2 linked regions of the Pelodiscus sinensis genome follow. The protein of the gene in region 2 purifies or fractionates together with the protein of the main gene of each other region. This does not show direct contact. Links are inferred from orthologs where the notes say so. Each region holds a gene or a part of one and is shown on either strand. Other genes may lie near its edges. The genes, in order: FNIP2 and FLCN.

The links.
Region 1: the proteins of FLCN (region 2) and FNIP2 purify together in Homo sapiens (affinity purification with western blotting; 5 studies listed by BioGRID and IntAct, with this or other methods). This does not show direct contact. The link is inferred for Pelodiscus sinensis from reciprocal best matches to the Homo sapiens genes FLCN and FNIP2.

Annotation. Positions count from the first base shown.
Region 1 is NC_134715.1:59,662,511-59,666,422, reverse strand, and holds the start of FNIP2 (folliculin-interacting protein 2), read right to left. Parts: upstream 2,449-3,912; 5' UTR 2,011-2,448; coding exon 1,841-2,010; intron 1-1,840.
Region 2 is NC_134726.1:33,890,309-33,894,220, reverse strand, and holds the start of FLCN (folliculin), read right to left. Parts: upstream 2,336-3,912; coding exon 2,087-2,335; intron 694-2,086; coding exon 547-693; intron 1-546. UniProt on the Homo sapiens protein: Multi-functional protein, involved in both the cellular response to amino acid availability and in the regulation of glycolysis.

The sequences.
Region 1 (3,912 bases), on a different chromosome or scaffold from region 2:
ATTTTAGATTCATCTTCATGTAAGACAGTTTTCCCCTCAATCATAATGACATTTGGCATTGCAAGACTGGCGTATGATTAGCCCATCCGAATAGCAAACGTCTGCTCTGGCAAATTATGTTTAAAGCAAATCTACTTTGTTTAAGAGTTTGGTGGAAGAGAAAAACCCACCCACTCTTGCATCACAGATTTCTAAATTGTTGAGGAAGAATATTAATTGAGAATTTACACCGTTTTTCCTGAAGCTCTGTTACCTAAGGGTAAATCCTAATTTTCTACTTGCAACACACTAAAAAAAGTTCTATTAGTCCATTTCAACCTCATTTACAGAAGTGTTTAGAAAACAGTGATGCTTAATCAATTCTAAAGTATGTTTTCAGTTCCTCTTCAACATGTAATACAATCGTGGATATGCTTCAGTAGATAAATCTGTGTGCTCAGTTGGAAAATAGCTATTTACTTTTTGGTTTTGGTTTGTGTTCTGTTTTAATTGTTCTTTTTAATAATAGCTGGTCAGCTGTTTACAGTTACCTAGCTGCTAATGGGAACACAGACATCATACAAGGTCCACCAAGTATGAGGACTACTTTTGGACACCTGCTTAATATTGAAAGGCTAAGTTCCAATAGAGTTAACTTTAAGACAGTTGGAACCAAACAAAAATGTGGAGCTCTGATATACAGTGCACTAGGGTAAGCTTTAGGCAGATTAAAAATTGAAAGTGCTAAGTAGAAGCACATAACCCCAGTTTATGGAAGAGATGCTAGTATAATTAAAAGTTTTAGCAAAGAAATTCTATATTCGTAGTTTTCATATAGCACTTCTACAATTAATGTGACTAGCACTCTTCAAAATGTATTTGTGGTAACATGTTAGTAAAGGACATATTAAGAATTTTTTTTTTTAAAGAAATGCATGATTAAAAGTTGACTCATCAGGTTTCTTGTCAGAATTAGGTTAAAAAAAATCCTTCACTCTTCCAAAGCTGCTTTCTTAGACTTACTCAAATGTCTTCTTCTGTACATAAGAGAGGATTCACTTGGAGATAAGATGACCTCTTTTGCTTAGGGGAAAATTATGTTTGATTTTTTTAAAATCCCTATTTGATTTTTTGACATAGCACTTAATTACTATATTATTTTCCATGTGTGCACTGCTATAAAGGACAGGGTTTGTTTTTTTTAAAAGTTAACTACGAATGCACTGATAGTCGCTTTAGAAAATTTAAAAGATAGGTGAAGTGTAGCTAAAGATAAATTTGAGATGCCAATTAAATTATGCATATTTGTTTTAATAGTAATTACACATTAAAAATTGAAAAATTCACCCCTTACTGCAATCCAAATGATAACCGGAAAGTTGCAGATACCCAGAGGCTTTACCCAGCATACTGTTTTCAGATCATCAGTTCTTTGCAGAGATTAACAGAACTCTGATCTCAACAAAGCTAGTTTACATTCATAATAGCCAAAAGTATTCTGAAATCTATGTGCACACTCCAACTGAGCAACCCATTTGTTTAGATTTGAGAAGTATTTCAGTTTGCTTTAGTTGGAAAAGGAACAAGCTGATGTTTCAGTGCAGCAAATATTGAACGAGCTGTTGGTCTAGTGATGTTTTCTGAACGCATTTCAGTTATACTCAATATGATTATTAAATCCAGGTTGGAGGGCGAGACACATAATTTTGTTGTACAGTAGCAGAAGAAAACAATACTTGGAACTAGACCAACAGCTGGTTTAGTAATTACTGCAATGAAACATCATGTTGTAACTTTTCAAAATAAAGCAAACTGAAACACTTCCCAAAATTAACTAAAATTTTAACAAATCTCAACTTACCTGCTGTTACGGTCGGTGCTCTGTTCTGCTACCAAAGATTTTTTAGCCTTTTTATCTAATCCTGTGTTTGAGATATTATTTCCCAGTGGGCAAGAGGCATCATTACTTTTTCTTGCTAAGTCTGTTTGCCCGCCTGTGCTGTGTGCAGTTTTTGGAGTACCTCCACACATCTTTTTAGCGTAGATGTACTTTCCCAAAGGTTCTTGAAAATACTGAACGTAAGAGATAGGCTGTAGGGCTCAGCGTCCAGCAACCACAGACATTTCCTCACGGAGAAGAAATTTAACCAAGTCTTTTAAGCCATCCACGGGTTTCATTTTTAGAACAAGAGTAGCATGTTCCATCAGTAATTCTGGGAGACAGCTGCATCCAATGTAATATAGTATATTTATCCCAAATAAGACCACCACAAAGAACTCTGAAATTTTAAAGCCCATCCAAGTTTATCTCCTGCTTCTGTTGCTGGAGTTTTTCCACCCAGTGCAAAGCGGTCAGCAGATACAGCAGCTAATATTGATTTGAACTACCTTTGTTTCCTGGTATGTGATTATGTAGCTGGCAATTATTTATTTGGTCACAAGACCAAACCATATGGCCTCTGAAAGAAAGAGCATAGGTGATTTTGCACAGACTCACCCTTAGCTGCAAGGTTGTTCTAACACTGGCTGCAACACCCTCTTAATGGCTCTCATGTGAGCAAGTGTCATCTGACAACTCTTAGCAACCTCTTATGGCTCAGTACCATACTTCAAATGCAAATAAAAATCTGTCATCAATACCCTACAGTTATCAGTAAGGAATGATTAACACCAGCAAACACCCCAGAATTTTTGCACAGTAATGGTTTTACTCTGTAAACAGTCTATATTCATCTAAGAATCAAATGCAGCTTTAAAAAAGAAAAAAAAAAGCTTTTCCACAAAAGGCAAATCTGTTCACCCAATACAATTGATAGGTAATATCTTATGAATATGCAGGATGTAACTTTTCACTTTTACACTTGCTTAAAAATGTGTCCCTTAAAAACAAAATAAAATAAATCATAATAATAAATAAATACCAAATCAGAGTTGTTATAAATTAGTACAACTAAATTACTAACACCAAATTGGAGAAACCAATTAAGAACTTAAAAAAACCACAGACTTTTGTTTTACAGCAAATGAGTACCGAATCTCCTCAAGGGTACAGGCCAAGAGGACACAGCTTGTTTTCTACAAGATCAACTAACCTCATCCCTTTAAATAATTGTCCCTTCCAGCTTAAAAAAAAAAAAAAAAGGATTCCACATAAAAATCCCAAGCACCCAATACAAGATCACCAATTTCCACTGAAATATTTTGTAGTACTGGCTACAATAAAAACAAAACCCAAGTTCAGCATTCATAAAACCCTTTTCATCCACAGACCTGAAAGCTGGGTATTATCTCACTGGCAGCCCCCATCAGAACCTCCCACCCACTATAGATCAACACCTCCCACTCTGTTCCCATGCTTCCCACCCACCACATTCAGCTGTTTCACACAAGCGGGCAGGAGGCGAGGAGGGAGGGAAGAGGAGCAAGGATGCAGCATGCTCAAGGGAGGGGGCAGAAGAGGGGTGGGGCCTACAGCAGAGCCAGGGATCAAGCACCCTCAGCACTTTGCAAGATCAGCACCTACAGTTAAAGAAGAGTCCATTCTGGTCAACCCAGAGCAATTCACAAGTCAAACTGTACTGAACTCCATCTTCAGGCTCTGTCTCTGACTTCCTTAGTCAGTTCGCAGTGAAAGAACCAAGCTTATTCCAGAGTCCCCACTTACTCCCTCACTTCACCCCTCTCAGACTTTTGTTCTCAAGGGGGGGGGGGGGGGAAAGAGGTGTCTTCTCAGTTTCTCTATGGAGAGTGCCGCTCCAAGTGTTATTTGAGCTCCCGCTGCCTCTCCAGACCCCAAACTGATCTGGATTTAGGAGTCTTAAATTACTTTTCCTGCAGAGCTACAGTGAGTAGCAGCTGCCAGAGCCTGGCTTGAGCTCTCAAGCTACTTTCAACGCAGACCAGCAATGGTTAACTGTGTAACCGAGAAAATAT
Region 2 (3,912 bases):
CAGCCTTGAGATACAAATGCCTTTGCTTCAGGTGTAGAGTAGACCCCCAAAGTGAACACCGGTTCTCTTCAGTAACAGATCAAATGAGAGGGGGACAAGGTGGGTGAAGTAATCTCATCTACTGGACACGTTGGTGAGAGACACGCCTTTGGACTACACATAGCTCTACTGCAGGTCTGGGAATGTATTCAGAGAGGCACAGCTAGGTGGAACAGATTAGTTACCTTGTATGCTAAATCACGCAAGATAGCATTCCAAGTGATCAGATAACGCAAGTTCAAAATTAACTCGTCATCGCTCTGAAAAGACGGACATTTTATATAAATGCCTTCTTTATGCATCAAAGAGCAGAGTCCGGTATTTTTTGTCCTTTGCAGTCATCTTTAAAAAATTCCTGCCAAATACTGAGACCCAGGGTCCTCTGGCCATGCATTCCATTTCCAACCCCTTCCAAGTTACAAGCCGTGGAGGAGGCCGATATCAGTGAAGCTGAGTTTTAGATTAGAAACAGCACAGATTTTTCTTGCTGAATTTCATATCACTTACCTCACAACTCAGGCTGCGGACACAAGCCTGACGCACAATGCTAAACAGCTGCGGATGGTTTGGGTGCTGGTGGCTGACATATTTGATCAATGTCTCTTTGTCATGGCTGACATATCCAGGGTGTCCTGCTGCAAGAGAGCGGCAACCCTGGCCACCGAAAGAAAAGAAAAATCTTACAGTAAAGTAAGAGACAACTATTTAATATACTTATATGTAGGCCCCGTTATCACAGCACCTGACTGACTAACAATCTTCAGCATAAGTATCCTCACAAGACCCAGTGAGGTAGGAAAGTATTTACAACGGGGAACTGAGGCACCAAGAGGCAGAGTGATTCACTCTAGATCAGGAAGTCTGCGGCGCAGTAGGGACTTGATCCATTCTCCCACCTCCTAACCATCCTTTCACTCTTACAGCCTCTTTCACAACTCACTTCCTCACTGGATTTTGTATTTGACAGGGGCTATGCAACTGGCCAAATTCAGCTAGTGGTAAAGCAACTGCGAACCCACTGACATATTGAAATCTGTCCCCACTAGAGAGACACGAAGCACACTAGGAATGGATTATTAGAGAGGGTACTAACGTTAAGTGGAAGAGCACCAAGGGGTACGGATGGACACACACAAAAACGTGGGCAAATACATTTAACTGGCTACAGAATTTGTTTCCATTTCCTGCGTTATACTTTTCTGTAAGTGTTGCTGTGCGTTCACTATGGCAAAGCAATTTCTCTCTCTCTCTCTCTCTCTCTCTCTCTCTCTCTCTCTCTCTCTCTCTCTCTCTCTCTCTCTAGATAGATAGATAGATAGATAGATAGATAGATAGATAGATAGATAAACATTTTTTTCCTGTGGGATGACAGAGTGAAGTCATCACGTCACTCTGCGTTGCCACGCGCCCAACTGCAACCCAGAACACACCCCGGAAACAGCCTCTTGCCACACTACCAGCTCTCATGGCAGGCTTCCCTACTGACCGGCCTCTTCGCCCGCAGCCCTATCGGCTGCAGCCCCTCCAGGCCCATACGTGGAGTTTATGAAGGCACTTCCCCATGGCGGTCCAAGTAAGTGTGAGGCTGGGGCGGTCATCGCTCCAGCCTCCTTTCCGTGCTCTGGATGGGGGGGTGGAAGCCACGAGCCTCTGCGCACGCCTTGGCCCGGACCCCCCAGCTGCTGGGGGAGAGCTGGTGCTAGTGCACCATGGCCTGGCCCTGTCTAGTGGCGGTGGGGAGAAAGGGCCAGGGCAGGTTGGGGTAGGAGAGGCGACAAAGAGCCTGGGGCAGGATAGGAGGGGCGACAAAGAGCCAGGGTGACAAAGAGCCGGGGCACCGGCAGCTGGGCTGGGCCCTCCCCTGCCGAGAGGGGATTTGGAGAGAGATGCAAGCAGGGGGCACAGCCCCCTAGTCTATAGTTTATTAGGGTTTCGAGATTCCGTGCAAGTATAAGCCATTTTCCGTGCCCCAAATAATAACACGCCCTTCATTGAGAAGCCATGGCCCATTCATTCAGCAAAGGACACAGGGTGCTCATATACACACCTCACACATATCTGACTTCTTCGGCCCTGGGCTACTGGAGTCAGCACTAGCACCTTCTGCTGGGCTGTGTGAGCGGATCCTACTGCTCATCTGAATGCCACCTTCTTCATCTTCTGCTTGCTCGCTCTGCCCAGGGCTGTCTCCATTCCCTGCGCCTTGCGGAAGCGGCGAATGCAGCACCTCTGTACAGAAGAGGGTGCGAGGGCCATGGAGCTCACAGAAATGACAGAGGGCGACGATGGCGTTCATAGCTGTAGCTTCACTCGCTCCTCGGCTCTCCTGCAGGTGAGGGAGGAAGCACCCCACATCAGTATAATGAACAGAAATCAACACATCCCCACGGCACCAGCTGCGATCTTCCCACTCAGGAGGAGCCGGGAATCAAGTTCAGCTCTGCAGAGCTCTAGGGTCAGTTCATTTCCTCCGGGGTCGCGCAGAGTACGAAGCCCAGCGCTCAGCGTGCCCTTTCTCTCCGTGCAAATGGGCAAGCGCAGGGCAGGATTTTCAGGCCTGGGCCCAGGGCAGGGGAGATCCAACCTCCTTCCCTCCAGCTTGGGCCTGACCTGACCTATCCCATGGAATCACCTGCCCTCCCCAGCAGAGACCTGGCCCAACACCTCCCATGGGGACTCCTGCACCCCCCACAGAGACACCCGCCTCCCACCTAGGACCTGCCTGACCCTCCCCCACGGGGACACCCCCCCACCTGGGACCTGCCTGATCCCCCACACAGGGACACCCCACCCCCCAAAACCTGATTCCCCCCAAAGACACCCCCTCACCTAGGACCTGCCTGACCCCCCCCCCCACTGGGACCTGCCTGATTTCCCCCCCCCACAGGGACACACCCCCCCACCTGGGACCTGCCTGACCCTCCCCCACGGGGACACCCCCCCCACCTGGGACCTGCCTGACCCTCCCCCACGGGACACACCCCCCACCTGGGACCTGCCTGACCCTCCCCCACGGGACACACCCCCCACCTGGGACCTGCCTGACCCTCCCCCACGGGACACCCCCCCCACCTGGGACCTGCCTGACACCCCCCCCGGGACACCCCCCCCCCCACCTAGGACCTGCCTGACCCCCCCCAGGGACACCCCCCCACTGGGACCTGCCTGACCCCCCCCCAGGGACACCCCCCCACCTAGGACCTGCCTGACCCCCCCCAGGACACCCCCCACCTGGGACCTGCCTGACCCCCCCCCAGGACACCCCCCACCTAGGACCTGCCTGGCCCCCCCCCAGGACACCCCCCACCTAGGACCTGCCTGCCCCCCCCCCAGGACACCCCCCACCTAGGACCTGCCTGACCCCCCCAGGACACCCCCCCACCTGGGACCTGCCTGATCCCCCCCCACGGGGACCCCCGCCCGCCAGCAGAGCCTTGGCCGACCCCGCAGCAGTGGCCCGGAGACCCCGGGGGGGGGGGGGCTGGTCACTCACCCGGCAGCTTCTCCAAGACCCCGCCCGTCCCGTGCCTCAGGGCGCCTGACACTGTCGGCCCGAACCAAAACCACCTCGGGGGGGGGGGAGCGATCCAGCGACCTGGCCTGCACCCCGCGCCCCCACCCGGAGGGAAGCAGAGTACACAGTGGGATCAGATTGTATCACTTCTCAGTCTCCCTCCCGCTCCTATGTGGCCAGGCGCAGCCCCTCCACTTTCCCCCGTTCCTCCCCCGCGCGTGTCAGTGGCTCAGTCCGAAGCTATCCCGACTCACTGGCAGTGGACTGAACCATTTCTTCAGGAGGGGGTGGAATTGTGCAGCCAGGGCCCTGCGTCTTTTCACGTCAGGTAGGACGGAGAGAAGATGGGGGCTGAGCCA